3 linked regions of the Oryctolagus cuniculus genome follow. The protein of the gene in region 2 purifies or fractionates together with the protein of the main gene of each other region. This does not show direct contact. Links are inferred from orthologs where the notes say so. Each region holds a gene or a part of one and is shown on either strand. Other genes may lie near its edges.

Region 1 (5,821 bases), on a different chromosome or scaffold from region 2:
CCTGACGGTGCTCAGGGAGACCGGGTGGAGGGAGCCCCAGTGCCCAGCCCCTGACGGTGCTCAGGGAGACCGGGTGGAGGGAGCCCCAGTGCCCAGCCCCTGACGGTGCTCAGGGAGACCGGGTGGAGGCAGCCCCAGTGCCCAGCCCCTGACGGTGCTCAGGGAGACCGGGTGGAGGCAGCCCCAGTGCCCAGCCCCTGACGGTGCTCAGGGAGACCGGGTGGAGGCAGCCCCAGTGCCCAGCCCAGGGAAGGCCATGGCCCATGTCCGGAAGGAGCATGCGACACAGGTGCTCAGGACACGGCTTCCTGAGACAGCTGCTGCAGGCCTAACAGACCTGCTCGTGGGAGGCAGGGGCCAGAGGCACAGCGCTTGGCCACTGGGTGGCACTGCCCAGTACAAGTGAGGATGGTGGTCAGAGGGGAGAGGAGGGGGCACTCGGCTCCTCCTCCTGTCCAGTGGGCACTGAGATGCTGCGACGCCTTGGGGTGAGAGGTCAGGGGCCGGGCCACTGTGACCGGGGAGGATCGAGGGCCAGCAGAAGGGCAGTCACCATTGTCAAAGTCTTCATGGGGGAACTGGGGCCAGGCACAGGCGCTGGGCCACTCCTTGCAGCGCTGGGTCCATATCAGAGTCCTGGACGCTGTGGTTCCCATGCAACTCCCTGCTACCGCGCCGGGGGCCCTGCACCTCAGAGAGGGCAGACGGAGCCCCTGCTACCGCGCCGGGGGCCCTGCACCTCACCAGAGGGCAGACGGGGCCCCTGCTACCGCGCCGGGGGCCCTGCACCTCACCAGAGGGCAGACGGAGCCCCTGCTACCGCGCCGGGGGCCCTGCGCCTCACCAGAGGGCAGACGGAACTCCCAGCCTCAGCCGGACCACACCTGGCTGGGGCGGCCATTCAGGGAGTGAACGAGCGGATGTGGATGGAAGAACTCCTCTCTCCTCTCTCTCCGCCCGGGTGGGGCGAGTGCACCTCATCCTCCATGGCGTGGCACTGACCAGCGCTGCTCTGAGGGCTGCGCACCCCGAGGCGGCCCCTCCGGGCACCCACCTGATGATGACACAGTCCAGGAAGTCGGTCAGCCGGCCGTTCTGAGTGATGTAGGAGAAGTCGGGGAAGCGCCGCTGTGGAGAAGCCGGGAGAGGGTGGCCCCCGGGAGGGGTCCAGGTGAGCACTCAAGCCAGGCTGGAGGGCCCAGCACTGCTGGCCACTCACGGCCTCCCGAGGAGCAGGCTGCTGGCGAGGCACCTGCCGTCCTCCCCGGCCGCACGGCAGGACGCTGAGCCAACCGCAGGAGGACACAGCGGCCATGGGACCCAGCGGCCAGACCGACCCCCACCCCAGGGGCGCTCGCCTCAGCCTGGCTCCACCTGTAAAATGCTGGGGAGCACCCAGGAAGTGACAGCCCCGCCCTCTGCCCAGAGCCTGCACAGGACACCATCTGGGTACACATGCCACTCACCCTCCATGCCTGCCCCTGGCTGCAGAGCTCCCCGGCCCCGCCCCCCGCCCTGCCCCTGGCTGCAGGAACTCCCCAGCCCCCGCCCTGCCCCTGGCTGCAGGAACTCCCCAGCCCCCACCCCTGCCCCTGGCTGCAGGAGCTCCCGGGCCCCCCGCCCTGCCCCTGGCTGCAGAGCTCCCTGGCCCCACCCCTGCCCCTGGCTGCAGGAGCTCCCCGGCCCCCGCCCTGCCCCTGGCTGCAGGAGCTCCCTGGCCCCCCACCCCTGCCCCTGGCTGCAGGAGCTCCCTGGCCCCCCACCCTGCCCCTGGCTGCAGGAGCTCCCCAGCCCCCCCCCCCCCCGCCCTGCCCCTGGCTGCGGAGCTCCCTGGCCCCCCACCCCTGCCCCTGGCTGCAGGAGCTCCCCGGCCCCGCCCTGCCCCTGGCTGCAGGAACTCCCTACCCCCAGCCCTGCCCCTGGCTGCAGGAGCTCCCTGGCCCCGCCCCCCTCCCCGCCCCCTCCCCGCCCCCGCCCAGGCACTCACGTCGTCGTTGAAGCCCATGTGCATGCCGCAGTCCAGCATGACGTTCTTGCCCCCGATGGACACCAGGATGCAGCTGCGGCCCACATCCTGGCCGGCTCCTGCTCAGGGGAGGGCGTGTGAAAGGCTGGGCTATGCCTGTGCCCACCCGCACCCCCCAGGGCCGCCAGGAAGCACCAGGTGCCCAAGCCCAGAGGAGCCCCGGCCTCCCTCGCCACGCCACGCCCTGCTTCTCAAGGTTGTACCCACAGGCCCCATGGCGGCTGCAGGTCACTCCCGGGCGGTGGCTGGCCCCCGGCTGAGCTAGATGCCCCTCCTTCCTGGGACTGGTCCCCAAGCGCCTAGGTGCTGAGTGACAGCCACGGAGGGACACGCGTGGCCTCAGACACAGAAGACGTGGCCCAGGCAGAGCAGCTGTGTGGGGAGCACCATCGCTCAGCCCCACTGGGAACCCTCCCCTACCCCCTCCAAGGGCCTGGGAACCCTCCCCTACCCCCTCCAAGGGCCTGGCAGGCGTGGCTCCCGGTGGCACGCGACCTCTGGGGTCTGCACAGCTGGAGACGCAGCAGGGGTCAGCAGCTCCGTCTCCATCTTGACCCCTGTGCCCCCTCCCCAGCACACACTCAGCCACGTGACCTGACCTCGGCCTGCCCCCAGCCCCAGTGGGTGCCTGGGTTTCCTTCCAGCCTTCCCCCGCCCCTACTAACAGACGAGGGTGGGGACCCTGCTGAGGTCCGAACGCAGCCGTGCAAGGCTCACGGAGGCCGCCAGCATGGCCAATTCAAGGGTGTGGGCACCAGAGCACCCCGGGGGGCGTCTTTGCTGGAATCGAGGCCGGCTCTCGGGCCCCGGCAGCCCTGCCCCCCGCGCGGAAACACAGAGGCCCACACAGCCCCTCCTGGGCCCTGCTCCGTGCTGAGGAGGAAGGCTAAGTCAGCGCTGCGCGGTCACCCGGGGCCCCGCAAGCCCGGGCGCAGAGACCACGCGCCTCCCGGACCCTCCGCGCGGGGCCGGGCCGGGGAGCAGGCGCGGGAGGTGCAGGGCCGCCCGCAGGCCACGGGCCCTGTCAGGACGGCGCCGCCGGAGCCGGACGCGGAGCGAGGGCCTGGGCAGCAGGGGCTCTGCCGCCGAGCTGTGCGCCCCGCGGGCGAGGGACGGGAGCCCCCGGCCGTGCCGCAGGAGTTCCAGCGCGGGACCCCGCCCCGCCGGCCCTGGGCGCCCCGACTCACCCAAGGGGGTGACTCTGATCTCTGGCATCGCTCCTGGCGCCCGCGCCTCGCTCCCGCTGCGCTCCCCGACTCAGAGAACTCGGCTCGCCGGGAAGGGGCGGGGGGCAGCCGCACGCGCCCGGCTCCCGCAACTCCGGGCCTGGAGCGCACCAACTCGCGGTGGCACCTGCGCAGGCGCAACCGCTCTGTTGCTGCTTCCGGTCCCTCGCCGGAAACTCGCCCCCCCCGGTGAGTCGCGTCCTGATTGGGCGGGCGGCAGCCAATCGGGCCGGCGGGGCGGGGCTCCGGGTCCCCGGGCGGGGCCTGCGGCGGCGGCGGCGACTGAGGCCAGGGATCCGCGGCGGCGGACCAACCAAACGGCCGGGGGTGGCCGAGGACCCCGCTCCCCGCTCACGTCAGCCCCTCCTCACCAGCACCCCGGCCTCGGCCCGCACCCCTGGGTCCCTTAGCCGAAGCAGGCGCTCCCCGGACCCAGGCCCCACCCAGCACGGTGCCATCCGGACCCCCTTCCCAGGTGAGATTTGCGAGGCTAACTTGGACAGGGAGCCAGGCCCGGGGGCCCCCGCGAGTCCTTGGCTCTGCTGGCCATGGGGAGGGCGCGAGGCGGCCCGCAGCGTCTTCCTGGCGCTGGCCGGCTGCCCGCACTCTGCCGCACAGCCACTGCCCTTCCTGTTCCCAGCCCAGGCAGAACAGCCCCGAGAGCCGCAGGCAGCTGGCTCCTTCTTGGCCGCCGGCTCAGGTTCTGGGTGGGAAAGGCCGGGCCCTCCGGATATCTGGTGGCCGGGGCAGTGTCCCTGGGGGCCTCGAAAGCCGTTTCCAGAGCGTGGAGGCCCAGGTGTGGCCGACTGCTCCCCTCGGCCTCACCCGGTGCCGGGCACACAACCCAACCAGTGGAGCCCCCAGGGGTGCAACGTCCGGTCACAGGGCCGGGAGCCACCTGCCCAGCTGCATAGGGACCCAGGGGTCCACTCCTAGCCGTGGCTCACAGCACAGGCAGCCGTCCAGACCGAGCACCGCGGGGGTGGAGAGGCCAGGGCGGGGCCCCTGGCACCAGCAGCAGGCCCGGGCCTGTCAGAGCCACCTGCCGTGCCAGCCCCCACCAGGCCACGGCCAGTGGGGCACCCGGAGCAGGGCTGGTTGGCTGCTTGGCGGCACCCACACAGCCCGTGGGCACCTGGATGTCTGTGGAGTGACCGGGTGAGTGTCAGTGGAATCCAGGGCACAGCTTGCCTCGGGGCCCGCGGCCGTGGGGGTGGGGAAGACTGACCCTGACCCGGCAGCAGCCAGGCCGCCCCACTGCCCCTGCTCCGATTTCAGGGGTGCAGAAGCGAGCAGAGGGGGAAGCTTCTCACCCCCCCGGCCCCTCCACTCCATCTCTGCGTCCCGGGGTGCTTAGGCCCCTAGGAGCTAGCGTCTGCCCAGAGCTTCCTGTCTGGCGAAACCCTCTACCGCGCCGAGGCGACGCGGGCTGATTTCCAGGTGGGCCGCATTGCGAGGCCTGTGAGCGATCTTGCAAATATCCAGGGTCCCCACGCCAACAGCAGCCCCCTGGCTCCTGGCAGCGGGTCGGAAAACCTCTCTCCTAACGGGGAGACAGCTAGAACGGGGTGAGAGAGACGGCCGTGCAGCGCAGCGGCCCACCGGGGCTCAGGGCCGGCCTGGTGGGTGACCCGCCCTGTGGGTGCACCGTCTGGGCAGGGGGCACGGTAGGGCCAGCCAGGGCCACTCAGAGCCGGTGGCCCCTGGGGAAGGAGCTGGGTGGAGGGGATGGCGGCACCGTCCCACCCCCCCTGTGGCACAGCGCTCACCGGGAAGATGGAGGATGCGGGGGCCGACTTCAACCTGAAGGTGGTGCTGGTCAGTTTCAAGCAGTGTCTCAACGAGAAGGACGAGGTGCTGCTGGACCACTACATCGCCAGCTGGAAGGGGCTGGTCAGGTGCGTCAGGGGCCCGGGCGGGGCAGCCGCCGGCTGCGGGAGCCTGGGGCGGGGACTGCAGCGCCTGCCGCCCGTGCAGGTTCCTGAACAGCCTGGGCGCCGTCTTCTCCTTCATCTCCAAGGACGTCGTCTCCAAGCTGCGCATCATGGAGCAGCTGCAGGCCAGCCCCCAGCACGAGCACTACGTCAGCCTGCAGTCCATGATGGCCTACGAGACGGGGAACCAGCTGGTGGACGTGGACCGCCGCTCCCGCCACCCCGACTCGGGCTGCCGCACGGTGCTGCGCCTGCACCGCGCCCTGCGCTGGCTGCAGCTCTTCCTGGAGGGCCTGCGCACGAGCGCCGAGGACGCCCGCACCTCCGTGCTCTGCACCGACTCCTACAACGCCTCGCTGGCCGCCTACCACCCCTGGATCGTGCGCCGGGCCGTCACCGTGGCCTTCTGCACCCTGCCCACGCGCAAGGTCTTCCTGGAGGCCATGAACGTGGGGTCCCCGGAGCAGGCGGTGGAGATGCTGGGCGAGGCCCTGCCCTTCATTGAGCGCGTGTACGACGTCTCCCAGAAACTCTACGCCCAGCACTCCCTGCTGAACCTGCCCTAGGGCCTCAAGTCCCACCACAGAGCCTCCGGTGCCTAGACGGGGAGGGCACCACGGCCCCCACAGGCTGGA
Region 2 (5,726 bases):
AGTCAGGCCAAGGTAGTCAAGACCAGATTCATCGAACTGAATCTTCAGAACTGGATTCCACAGGCGGAGAAGACATTGTGGATTTCTTCGGAAGGAAAACGTATTCTGACCAGTGTGGTCCCGTATTGCTCATGATGATGCGCACTCTCCTTGACCGAGTGCTAACAGGAGCTTCCAAGAATTCCTTCCTTAGGAAGTCATGGCATCTAATGATTTGGCAGGAGGACATATAATTATATCTTCCCTCCATTTTCTGATGGTGGTGAGCCAAGCAGTCTTATGTCAAGAGAAAATAAGTTACAGGGAGCGCACAGTACTTCGGACAAACGTATTCATTATAATCCTAGCACACAGTGGGCGTTGGGCACTTCTCCAGACTGACGTCACTATCTACTCTGCAGGTGGAGAACTCAGGCAGAGAAACGACTCTGACCGTGTTCCATACTGCAGGCCTGGAGGGTCGGCTGTATGAGTGTGGCTGGGACAGCGCACTGAAATCCTGACCACTTGGGCCAGTCCCTTCTCTGGTGTGAGGGTCTGCTTCTTGCCCAGCTGTCAGGTCCATGACAACGTGGTAAAGAGCAGGCAGGCACACCCGGCTCGGCTTCAGGACCCTGGACACCCAGTGCTGGGCTTTTCCCCACTCACTCCACACGGTCCCAACTCTTTCTCCTGTGTTGTTCGAGGACTTTCACTGCAAAACAGCCTCAGCATTTAGGCTAAAGGTCTTTTTACAGTCTGGGGAGGAGTCGAGGGGCTTTCTTCTGGGCACACTAGTGGGAGGCACTAGTGGGGAAGGCCGGGCCAGTGGGCCTCGCCCAGCAGGTTGTCTTGGACGAAGGCTCTTCAGTTCCGCCACCGGCTGCTGGCGATGCACTCCTGGGTAAGTCAGGGCGCTTGGGAGTGGCAGGGTTGAAGGCGACCAGAACCAGCTCTTGCCTTGTCCTTCACGGCTAACTGTCCTTGGTAAAGCTTTTCCTGGAGTCATCATAATCGCTATTCCCAACAATTTTCAGGCAGCACCATGGGCTCCGTCATGAAGTTAGGGCCCCGTACCTGTTCGGACGACCCCTTCATATCCCAGGCCCTGCGTGTGGCACACAGTTGGCCCTGCAAGGAGCCCAGTATTTCTGCAAATGTAGGGGAAACGGGATGCGAGGTTGCGCGAACCCCGGAGGCATTCAGGACCAGGGCAAGGCCGGTCGGATCGCAGGGTGTCTGCGCTTTCATTTCTAGGATCGTGGCCGGCACGCGGCCAGGGCTCTCGGACCAGGAGGAAGGTGCACGCACACCGGGAGCGCAAGGCGACGATGAGCGAGGTCGAGGGGGCCAAGGACCCGGGGCCCGCCGTCAGAGACGCCCAGGCCCGAGGACAGACGTGTGCTGGGAGTCAGGTGCCCTGCGCGGCTCCACGCGACAGGTGTACCTCCCCCGCCCACGACCGACCTAATTACACGGTGCCGGCCGCGCCCATTCCTGCTCCCACAGATGCGGGAGTCCCACGCAATTCCCGCGCTCCTGCACCCTGGAGAAGCCATGGGGTCGCGACTCTCGCCTCCGTGACCTGGCTGCCAAGCAGCACCCCAGAGGCCTTCCCAAGGAAACACGTTTCCGGCTGACGGGAGACCCCCACACCCCCGCGTCCCCGACTGCGCCTGCGCCGGGCCCGCGCTCGCGCCTCTCGGGGCGTAGTGCTCCGGGCCGAGCCCGTTCGCCGCTGCGGGCACTGCGCATGCTCGGACTCGGGTCTTCCCCCCCACCCCCAACCCCCAGGCCTCTCCTTTCTAAGAGACCACGCCCTAAACGCGAAGGCGCCTCGGTCTCCAGCCGGCTACATCGCGCCTGCGCTGTGGCCCCTCGTTTGCGCCCCCTCTCCGGCCGTGCGCCCGACCCGGGTCCGCCGTGTGGCTGCGCAGCTTGCGTCCGGGCTCTTTCTCCGTCGGCTGCCCGCCGCCTCCTGACGCCGCGTGACGTCACCACGCCGGGCAGCCGCCATTACAGAGGCGAGCTCCGGAGCTAGGGCGAGCGGAGGAGGCGCAGCGGCCGGCGGCCGAGCACTGCGGGGAGAGCCAGCGGCCAGCGCCGGCGCCGAGCGACCGCCAGCGGCCAAGGAAGTACCCCCCGGGAGCCGGCGGCGGCGTGTGCGTGTGGCCCGTGTGCGGGCGGCGGCGCGGGAGCAGCGCAGAGCGGCAGCCGGTTGGGGCGGGTGGCATCATGGACGAGAAGGTGTTCACCAAGGAGCTGGACCAGTGGATCGAGCAGCTGAACGAGTGCAAGCAGCTGTCCGAGTCCCAGGTCAAGAGCCTCTGCGAGAAGGTGAGCTGCGCCCGGCCTGCCGGGGCCGCCGAGGAGGCGGTGTCCGTGAGGAGGGTGCAACATGGCGGAGGCCGCCGGCCGGGCCGAGCCTCCCCGACCGGCGCCCGGCCTGGCCTGGCCGGCGGCGGCTCCCGGACGACCCGACGCCCCCTGCCTCCCGCGCACGGATTGGCTGTCGTCGCCGCCTAAAATGGCGCCGTTCACCCGACGCCGGGTCTTGGGAGCCTGCGGGCCCGGGCTCCAGGCGGGGTGGCAGGAGGAGCGGAGACCCCGTGGCCAGGCCCGGGGACGGCTTGGGGCCCCCGGGTCGGCGGGCTGGGGTGCGTGGCCCGGGAGTGGGAGTGGGCCTCTGTGGTGCGCTGAGGGGCGTCTCGGAGCCCGCGCTGCCCGCAGCAGCCCCCAGAAGCAGGCTTGAGGGCCTGAGGCCCCGGCGTGACCGCCACCCGGGGGAGGGATAGTGTCCACCCGGCCCAGGCTCTGCCCCCGGAGACCTCTTGGAGGAGTGTCTTTAAGCATTTTTTTAAAAAAAAGCCTGTAACCTAATTTCTGCGAAGGTCATGGTAGTTCTAAGGGGACAGAGTATAACTTCTTTCTCAGAGTTGGAAGAAATGGGGAATTCGGTGAGTCATACTACATAAGGAGCTTCTGGGTTGGAAATCCAGTCAGTGTAACCTATGATTTATATGCTGACTCAAGCCGGGCAGTGAGGAACCCTTCTCTTGAGCCTAACATACTTGGCGTTTTGCCATTTGTTTTTAAAAATGAGCAACGTAACCTGGAAACGCGGCGAATTTTGTGCTCTCTTCGTTGAAAAAGTTCCATGCTTGTCCGTTTTGGGCTGCAAATGGTAGTAATACTTGCTAGTGAGCACTTTATCCCAGACGTTGCGCTTCAGGTTGAAATATCGTAAAGCGTTGGGAGTGGAATATTGTCCACGAAATAACATTGAATTTTGTGTTTTCTGTTACCAAAATCTGTTTTGGTTTTCCCCAGGGATTGGGGAAACGGAGTATCCATTAGCTGTACGTAATTTTTAATTTTTGTTAAGTTTCCCACAGTACACAAAATACTGATCTCCTTACGAACATATTAAATTTACCCTTTGCACAATTAACAGCATTTCATTTTAGCACAGAATTGTGGAGTACTGCCAGCATTGTGTGTTAGTGAAAAGAGTTTTTGGAGAACTGTTAACGCTGACTTGTTTGTGGTTCCATGTGAACATTAGGTTCATGTAGTGGAGGTTTCCAGACAAATCATGCTGTAAACTATTGGAATTTAAGTTAGATTTATTTCTCCCCGAGCCTGAACAGAGCACTAATAGTGGGGCAAGCACATCATCTGCTGGAGCTGGATCCTACGGCTCCAGTGTGTTGAATCTCCAGTTTCTTGACTTGAAATTCTCTCAGATCATATGAGGCTAGTCTTTACTTTTTAAAGATTTAGAAATAGGACTTTGAAAATTACTTAATGTGTATTGCCAGGTCTTAATTTCTAGCTTAATATAAATGATGACTTGACTGACTGCAGATTCAGAACTTTACGGACTGCACTTTGAGTCAGTGATTGGATGACTAGTCATTTGTGAAGAAAACACTGAGAAGGGAGACGGGGATGTAGTTGGAAGACCAGCAGTTGGGAGTTGGTCCTCTTCCTGCTCCTAAGTGAGTGATTTTGGTTAACTTCGGGGCAGACACTCAGATAGTCCTTGATTTCCTGTCTATAGAAGAAGGAATTAAAATGTATTCTGGGAGCTTTGGAGATTATGCAGTTTCATCTGAAATTAGTTCTTTGTGTTTAAAATTTTAGCACTTATTGAATATCCAAGATTGCATATGTTTATGGGAGCATGAAAAGCAGCAAAAAATAGTGATGTAAGGTTGATAGTTCAGAAAGTTCATGAAAGATGCCTATTACGAAAAAACTGCATGGATGGCAAAACTTTTGCATCCAAATAAACTTATAATTCTTTTCTCTATAAACTTTTTTTAAATTTATTTTATTTGAAAGATTTACAGAGAAGGAGAGCTCTTCCATCCACTGGTTCACTCCCCAAATGGCTGCAACAGCTGGAGCTGAACCAGTCCGAAGCCAGGAGCCAGGAGCTTCAGGGTCCCCCATGTGAGTTCAGGATCCCAAGCACTTGAGCCATCTTCCATTGCTTTCCCAGGGCATAGCAGAGAGCTGCATCAGAAGTAGAGCAGCTGGGACTCAAACTGGTGCCCATATGATGCTGGTGCTGCAAGGCCGGGGCTTTAACCTGTTGTGCCACAGTGCTGACCCCATGAATTTTTTTGAAGTGTCCTTGTATTGTCAAGGAGCTTTGAGTTGAGTTGGAAAGAAAGGTATGAATGGGTAGGAGCAGCAGGAGATGGAGCCTGCAAGTAGTGGGGGTTTTTCAGACTATAGAAGGTAATAGAGGGTGCCAAGGTGAGAGGGCTGATGCTTCATGGACTCCGTGTTCATGGTTTTTCCATGTCTTTGTGGAACATAGTTGTGACGTTAATTGACTTAGATCTCCATTGTTGTGTCCATGATTTCAGGTTTGAGATTCAGAAAGATGGAAATATTTATAGCTAGGTATTATGTAAAGGTTTCCATAGAATAGATCATTTTTGGTGGATGTCACTTCCACCCCACTTTTTATTCACCCATTGAGAGGCAGAGAGAGCACTCATTTACTGGTTCACTCCAAATGCCCACAGGCGCCAGAGCTGGGCCAGGCCAAAGCCTAGAACTTAGCATTCAGTCAGGGTCTTCCATGTGGAATACCAGGACCCAAGTATTTGGGACATCACTGCTCTGTCGTAGGGTGTGTATTAGCAGGAAGCTGGATTGGAAGCAGAGGAGCTGAAACTTAAACCAGGTGGTATATGGGTGTCCCAGTTGGTATCTTAGCCACTGTGCCAAATGCTTGTGCCTATTTCACCTCTATATTAATCTAAACTAGATTAATTTGAAGATGACTTGGTATCTTCAGTACAAGTTGTCTTTTCACTACTAAATTTGTGTGGGTGATAAGGTTGTTTGGCCTAGTGTTTTTTGTTTGTTTGTTTGTTTGTTTGTTTTGACAGGCAGAGTGGACAGTAAGAGAAAGGTCTTCCTTTACCGTTGGTTCACCCTCCAATGACCACTGCAGCACTGTGGCTGGCGCACCGTGCTGATCCGAAGCCAGGAGCCAGGTGCTTCTCCTGGTCTCCCATGCGGGTGCAGGACCCAGGCACTTGGGCCATCCTCCACTGCCCTCCCAGGCCACAGCAGAGAGCTGGACTGGAGGAGGAGCAACCGGGACAGAATCTGGCGCCCCAACCAGGACTAGAACCCGGAGTGCCGGCGCTGGCTGGCCTAGTGTTTAAGAGGCTCATTTCCAACGTCAGAGTACCTGGGTTTTACACCTGACTCCAGCTCCA
Region 3 (5,865 bases), on a different chromosome or scaffold from region 2:
GGCCCCTGCACCTGCATGGGAGACCTGGCTCCTGGCTTCAGATCGGCGCAGCTCTGGCCGTTGCGGCCATCTGGAGAGTGAACCAGCAAATGAAAGACCTCTCGCTCGCTCTCTCTCTGCCTCTCCTCAATCTGTGTAACTCTTTCAAATAAATAAATAAATCTTTAAAAAAGAAATACAAGTAGGAAAGGACACAGCCTGCCTGCCTTGTTGCCCTGTTCTTCACAACCTTTCTATATGTAGATATCAAAGCATAAATACTTTGAGTTGTGCTCAAAATAAATCACCTTGTTCATGATTGCCAACAGTTCGCTAAGCACGAGACGCAATCGCCGAGGTGAATCGCTGTGTTCAAACTCTAATGTCAGTCCATGCTGAAGCTGGGAAACCAGGATGCTCTCTCCACTGCCTCCTCCAAGTTTATGCCTAATGAAGCACAAACACATAAAACAACACGTATGAGAACACTTGTGTGGAAGTAATGCATAAAAATTATCTTTTATTAAAATAACCAACAAAAGAACATAAAAATTTTAAATACCTTCTATGACTTCTGATTATTATTTAGCTTACCTATCATCTCAGGGATTCACAACCTACATACATAAAGACTCCATCACAACTGATAGTAAACATCACTTCCCTTAAAACTAGTGGGTTACTCTTGGATTCATTATGGAGGAGTTTGGGGGAGAAGGACATAACATCTACCCAGAACCTTTGTGAACCAGCAAAAGTTTAAAAAGCTGGGAGCCGGCTCTTTGGCACAGCGGATAAAGCCACTGCCTGCAGTGCTGGAATCCCATAAGGCCGCTTCTTTTTTGTTTGTTTGTTTGTTTGTTTTTTGACAGGCAGAGTGGACAGTGAGAGAGAGAGACAGAGAGAAAGGTCTTCCTTTGCCGTTGGTTCACCCTCCAATGGCCGCCGCGGCCAGCACGCTGCGGCCGGCACACCGCGCTGATCCGATGGCAGGAGCCAGGTGCTTCTCCTGGTCTCCCATGGGGTGCAGGGCCCAAGTACCTGGGCCATCCTCCACTGCACTCCCTGGCCACAGCAGAGGGCTGGCCTGGAAGAGGAGCAACCGGGACAGAATCCGGCACCCCGACTGGGACTAGAACCTGGTGTGCCGGCGCCACAAGGCGGAGGATTAGCCTATTGAGCCGTGGCGCCGGCCCCCATCTGCTTCTGATCCAGCTCTCTGCTATGGCCTGGGAAAGCAGTAGAAGACAGCCCAAGTCCTCAGGCCCCTGCACCCACATGGGAAGACTCGGAGGAAGCTCCTGGCTCCTGGCTTCAGATTGGCACAGCTCCGGCCATTATGGCCATTTGGGGAGTGAACCAGTGGATGGAAGATCTACCTCTCTCTCTCTCTCTCTCTGCCTCTCCCTTTCTTTCTGTGTAACTCTGACTTTCAAATAAATAAATAAATCTTTTTAAAAAAAAGTTTAAAAAGCTGCCCAAATGATTCTAATACATCCTGTAATACATCCCTGTAATCTAGAGGGAGTTACCCTAAACACTTCCCACAAAGTAACTGGCCACATCAGTTTAGCCGGACAACAGAATAAGGCCAAACTTCTACACGATATTTTTAAAGACCCTAGGATTTTAACTACAAATAGAAAAGACCTAAGTAGAATAGTCTCTGAAGTTTACATTCTCATTCTGTTTTCTGGAGGAGCTCTCCAAGCTCTGAGAAACCACCGATGCCCTATTCCTCAGCCAATCTAAGTACATCCTGATCTGCCCGGTTCATAACGGAACGTTACCTAAGCTGCTGCTCCTTGCTGGCATCCTGCTCTAAAGCGTGGAAGTCCACCGAGAGCAACGCAACGATGGAGTTGACGGCTTCCACTCCGGACAGAAGGCGGAGGATGAGCTTTTTATCTTGAGCCCAGCTCTGGCTCTGGTCAGCAGGAGCACAAAGCGCCATCCGTACCAAACAGGGCAGGAGAAGTCTTAGTTCCGGATCACTTAAAGACGCCAGGCGCACCACATCCACCTTCTGCATTGCCTCGAAAGCGAAAGGGCTGACAAACTGAAGGCTTGCACACTCAGTCATCATCACTGTGGATCCTAGTGACAAAAAGAGAGAGAGTTGGGGTAGAACGTCCACGTGGTGTAAACGCCTTCTTTTGAAAAACCCTGGGAATGTGGTACACTTGTCACAGGCCCCTCAACTGGCAACGTTCCGGACACCAATAAAGACAAGGCTTTTTCTGTCTGCCTCTCTTCCTACTGCCACCTGGGAAATAAGAAAATAGAGAATTTTAATGCCTCTTCTAGCCTTTTCCACAGAACACGAAGTCTGGTGAGATACAGGAACAGGCCCAAAGTACTACAACTAGTTAGTGGCAAAATCCAAGGCTCAGCCGTCATCGACCAAATCCCTGTTCGAGCCCTCTCTAAAACCTCTGCACTAGTCCCCCCAGCGCCACAAAAGCTAAGCGAGCGGCCACAGCTAAGGCGGCTCCTCTTGCCCCACCCGCCTGGTTTCACAGCCTCTCCGACATGGGTAAGGAGCTGCGGCTTCTCTCCCCGTCCTCCCCCAGTGCAAACGCTGGAGAATCACCTCGCTGGCTACAAGCCACGGCACATCCCGGCTCTAAGGGCTACTCTTCCCTACACCCCCTGCGTTATGGATAAAAAGCACACGTGTAGGTGCAAGGAGCTGTGCCACGGGGAAAGACGAGCGCCACTCGGGCAGCTGCCTGTCCTCAGGAGTCATCAAAAAAAAAAAAAAAAAGCAACAGTTAGCCAGAGCCATCCCCTAAGACCGACCGACTGGCAGCACCGTGGGTGCGAGGCGTGGGCAGCCACGCTGATTTGCTCTGAAGCAGGAGGAGCTGGTCTTTGAACAGAGGGCTGGGCTGCCGGGGCAGAGGCGCCAAGACCGGTCCTGCCCCGGACAGAACCAGAAGCCAGTCCCTCGGGCTGAGAGAAGTCTAGCCGGTCGCCGACAAAGACCGGGGAACGCGCTGAGGCCTGAGAAGCGGACGCTTCATACCTGAAGATCTACCCTCCAAGCCTCACGGGACCCCACTGGGATTCTGCGTCCTACAGGCGGCCGCGGCAGAAATCGAGAGCGCGGTCCGAAGTTGGGCCTAGGCGGTAATCCGAATCCCCACACCCTAGCTGTGCCCGACTCGATCTGGGCACCAAGCGCTCAGACGCCGGGACCGACCGGGCGGTGGGCAAGACGGGGGCAGGACGGGAACACCGCACCAGGGCAGAACCCAGACTGGAGGAAGGGAAAAGCCGAGGAGACTTTTTCAACCTGCACCCAGCTCCTTCATTCATCCCCAGCGTCTGGCTCCCGTCGGCCACCGTACTGGACTGAAAGGAAGAGTAGCTGCAAGAGGAAACCCAGAGCCGACGGCGCCAGGGCGCCGGTGCGCGTGCGCGTGCGCGTGCGCGGCCCCGCCCCTTCCTCCGCCCGCGCTGTTCCCTGCCCAGGTTCGGCTCCGACGGTTTGGGCTAAGGATTCTATCGTTTTTCCAGAGCTGTGTCCTTTTAGACAAGCTACTAAGCCCCCTCGGAGCTTCAGGAACTTCATCACAGGATTATCGAGGCATTCAGAACACACAACGCGTGTGTAAGAGATGTTAATGTTGTCCCCACTATTGTTTGACCGGAACACTACATAACCAGTCTGCACGCTTCTTTAAATCTTCCCCTAGTAGGTCCTCTCAGCACCAGAATTCCAGAATCCCAGGATGTGGCGGAGAATTTAAAAAGAAATCTAATCTCAAGTCTCTCGATGTCCCACCAGCGCCGTCCGAAGTCAGACCTCTTCCTCTCAGCGTCCTTAACTTAGGGTCCATAGATTCGTAGGATGTGGTTTCAGGAATTCCCTGGAATCTGTTCAAAATTATGAGTATCTGGTACTTCTGGAAAGAGAGCCCAAACCTCTTCAAGGTCTAAAATACATGCTGTTTCTTCTACCTAGTTAAATCAACATGTGTTTGGGACCTTCTATTTACCAAGTATCAATGCTAAATAATACTTTACAGTTTGCAAGGCTTTAACAGATGAATAATCTCTTTTAAAATAAGGTCTGGCTTTCAAAATAGATCAGCAGAGGAAAAAAAGCACTAATGTGCGTTTCAGTGTTTCTGACTTTGTTTCCACCTGACAAATCATTAAAATAACGTTTGTCAATGAAATAATTTTGATAATAGTTATATAGACTCAGACTATATATAGAATAATTATATAGACCCTGCACCATTGGTCTGTAAGCTATCAAGTGTACTGCTTCCTCTCATGATGACTTTTTTTTTTTTTTTTTTAAAGAAAAGGGGAATTTATTTGAAAGAGAGAAAAAGAGGGAGAGACAGATTTTCCATTCGCTGGTTCACACCCCAAATGGCCAAGACAGCTGGGGCCAGGCCAGGTCAAAGCCAGGAGCCAAGAGCTTCATCCAGATCTCCATGTGGGTGCAGGAGCCCAAGAACCTGGACCATCTTCCACTGCTTTCCCAGGTGCATTAGCAGAGAGCTGGCTGAGAAATGGAGCTGCTAGGACTTGAAACAACATTCAGAGCAGCTGCCGAAGTCACAAGCAACAGCTTAACCCATTAGGCCACACCACCAACCCCCCTTAACTACTATCAAATCAATTTTTAAAACTTTTATTTATTTTCATTTTATTTTAAAGGCAGAGAGACAGAAAGAGAAAATCATCTGTTAGTGCATTCCCCAAATGCCCACCAACAGCTGGGACTGGTTCAGGCTGAAGCCAGGAGCCAGGAACTCAGTCCAGGTTTCCCTCGTAGGTGGCAGGGACCCATCGACTTGAATGTCATCTGTTGCCACCCAGGGTGCACATAAACAGAAAGCTAGATCAGGAGCAGAGGAGCCAGGACTTGAACCAAGCATCCCAAGCAGCAACCTCTGTGCCAAATGCCCGCCACAATTTTTAGAAAGACTGTGCAGCCCTAATGTTTAAATTAGGCAGATTCTCTTCTCAAGTGGCAAATAATCCTACAAATTAATTGTCCTTATATCACATTTGATTGTCAAAGGACTGTAATATAATTACTACTTTTGTGATTAAAAATGTTTGAAAAGCATGCAGCCAGAGAAAAAGTTTGAGAAAATAATCTCATTTTAAGGCCAATATGATATTGAAGCCCATTACCATTTCTAGCCACAAAAAATTATTTTTCACTAATTCTCTGATAACTTTTTCACATTTTAACATGCCCCAAATTGGGGCATCTTATAATGGGTTCATTTTCTATGTGGCACATGAACCACTGATGTCTTAAGTATTAGTGCCGGCCGGCGCCGCGGCTCACTAGGCTAATCCTCCGCCTAGCGGCGCCGGCACACCGGGTTCTAGTCCCGGTCGGGGCGCCGGATTCTGTCCCGGTTGCCCCTCTTCCAGGCCAGCCCTCTGCTGTGGCCAGGGAGTGCAGTGGAGGATGGCCCAGGTGCTTGGGCCCTGCACCCCATGGGAGACCAGGAAAAGCACCTGGCTCCTGGCTCCTGCCATCGGATCAGCGCGGTGCGCCGGCCGCAGCGCGCCGGCCGCGGCGGCCATTGGAGGGTGAACCAACGGCAAAAGGAAGACCTTTCTCTCTGTCTCTCTCTCTCACTGTCCACTCTGCCTGTCAAAAAAAAAAAAAAAAAAAAAAAAAAAGTATTAGTGCCTTGGATTTGATGAAAAATGTTGAATAGTTCCTACATTTTAAGTCAAAAGAGAACATTCCTTCCTGGATAAACATTCTCCTGACTGTTTACTTCAATTCATTCTTTTCCACCTTAACCATTTTTCAATCACATTGGAGGAAGAAAAGAGAAAAACACAATTAGAATATTTACTACGAGTCAAGTATACTAATTATACTGCCACCAATCA

What was found. The genes of interacting proteins can lie anywhere in the genome.
Region 1: the proteins of PPP2CA (region 2) and INTS11 purify together in Homo sapiens (affinity purification with mass spectrometry; 4 studies listed by BioGRID and IntAct, with this or other methods). This does not show direct contact. The link is inferred for Oryctolagus cuniculus from reciprocal best matches to the Homo sapiens genes PPP2CA and INTS11.
Region 3: the proteins of PPP2CA (region 2) and INTS2 purify together in Homo sapiens (affinity purification with mass spectrometry; 4 studies listed by BioGRID and IntAct, with this or other methods). This does not show direct contact. The link is inferred for Oryctolagus cuniculus from reciprocal best matches to the Homo sapiens genes PPP2CA and INTS2.

Annotation. Positions count from the first base shown.
Region 1 is NC_091438.1:164,182,978-164,188,798, reverse strand, and holds the start of INTS11 (integrator complex subunit 11), read right to left. Parts: upstream 3,409-5,821; 5' UTR 3,242-3,408; coding exon 3,214-3,241; intron 2,399-3,213; exon of another isoform or gene 2,234-2,398; intron 2,086-2,233; coding exon 1,988-2,085; intron 1,129-1,987; coding exon 1,055-1,128; intron 49-1,054; exon of another isoform or gene 1-48. Other genes in the region: CPTP (ceramide-1-phosphate transfer protein), read left to right, coding at 4,981-5,150, 5,230-5,752.
Region 2 is NC_091437.1:22,518,280-22,524,005, reverse strand, and holds the start of PPP2CA (serine/threonine-protein phosphatase 2A catalytic subunit alpha isoform), read left to right. Parts: upstream 1-2,080; 5' UTR 2,081-2,214; coding exon 2,215-2,316; intron 2,317-5,726. UniProt on the Homo sapiens protein: Catalytic subunit of protein phosphatase 2A (PP2A), a serine/threonine phosphatase involved in the regulation of a wide variety of enzymes, signal transduction pathways, and cellular events.
Region 3 is NC_091448.1:35,531,895-35,537,759, reverse strand, and holds the start of INTS2 (integrator complex subunit 2), read right to left. Parts: upstream 3,409-5,865; 5' UTR 3,297-3,408; coding exon 3,278-3,296; exon of another isoform or gene 3,008-3,277; intron 2,077-3,007; coding exon 1,770-2,076; intron 427-1,769; coding exon 288-426; intron 1-287. UniProt on the Homo sapiens protein: Component of the integrator complex, a multiprotein complex that terminates RNA polymerase II (Pol II) transcription in the promoter-proximal region of genes.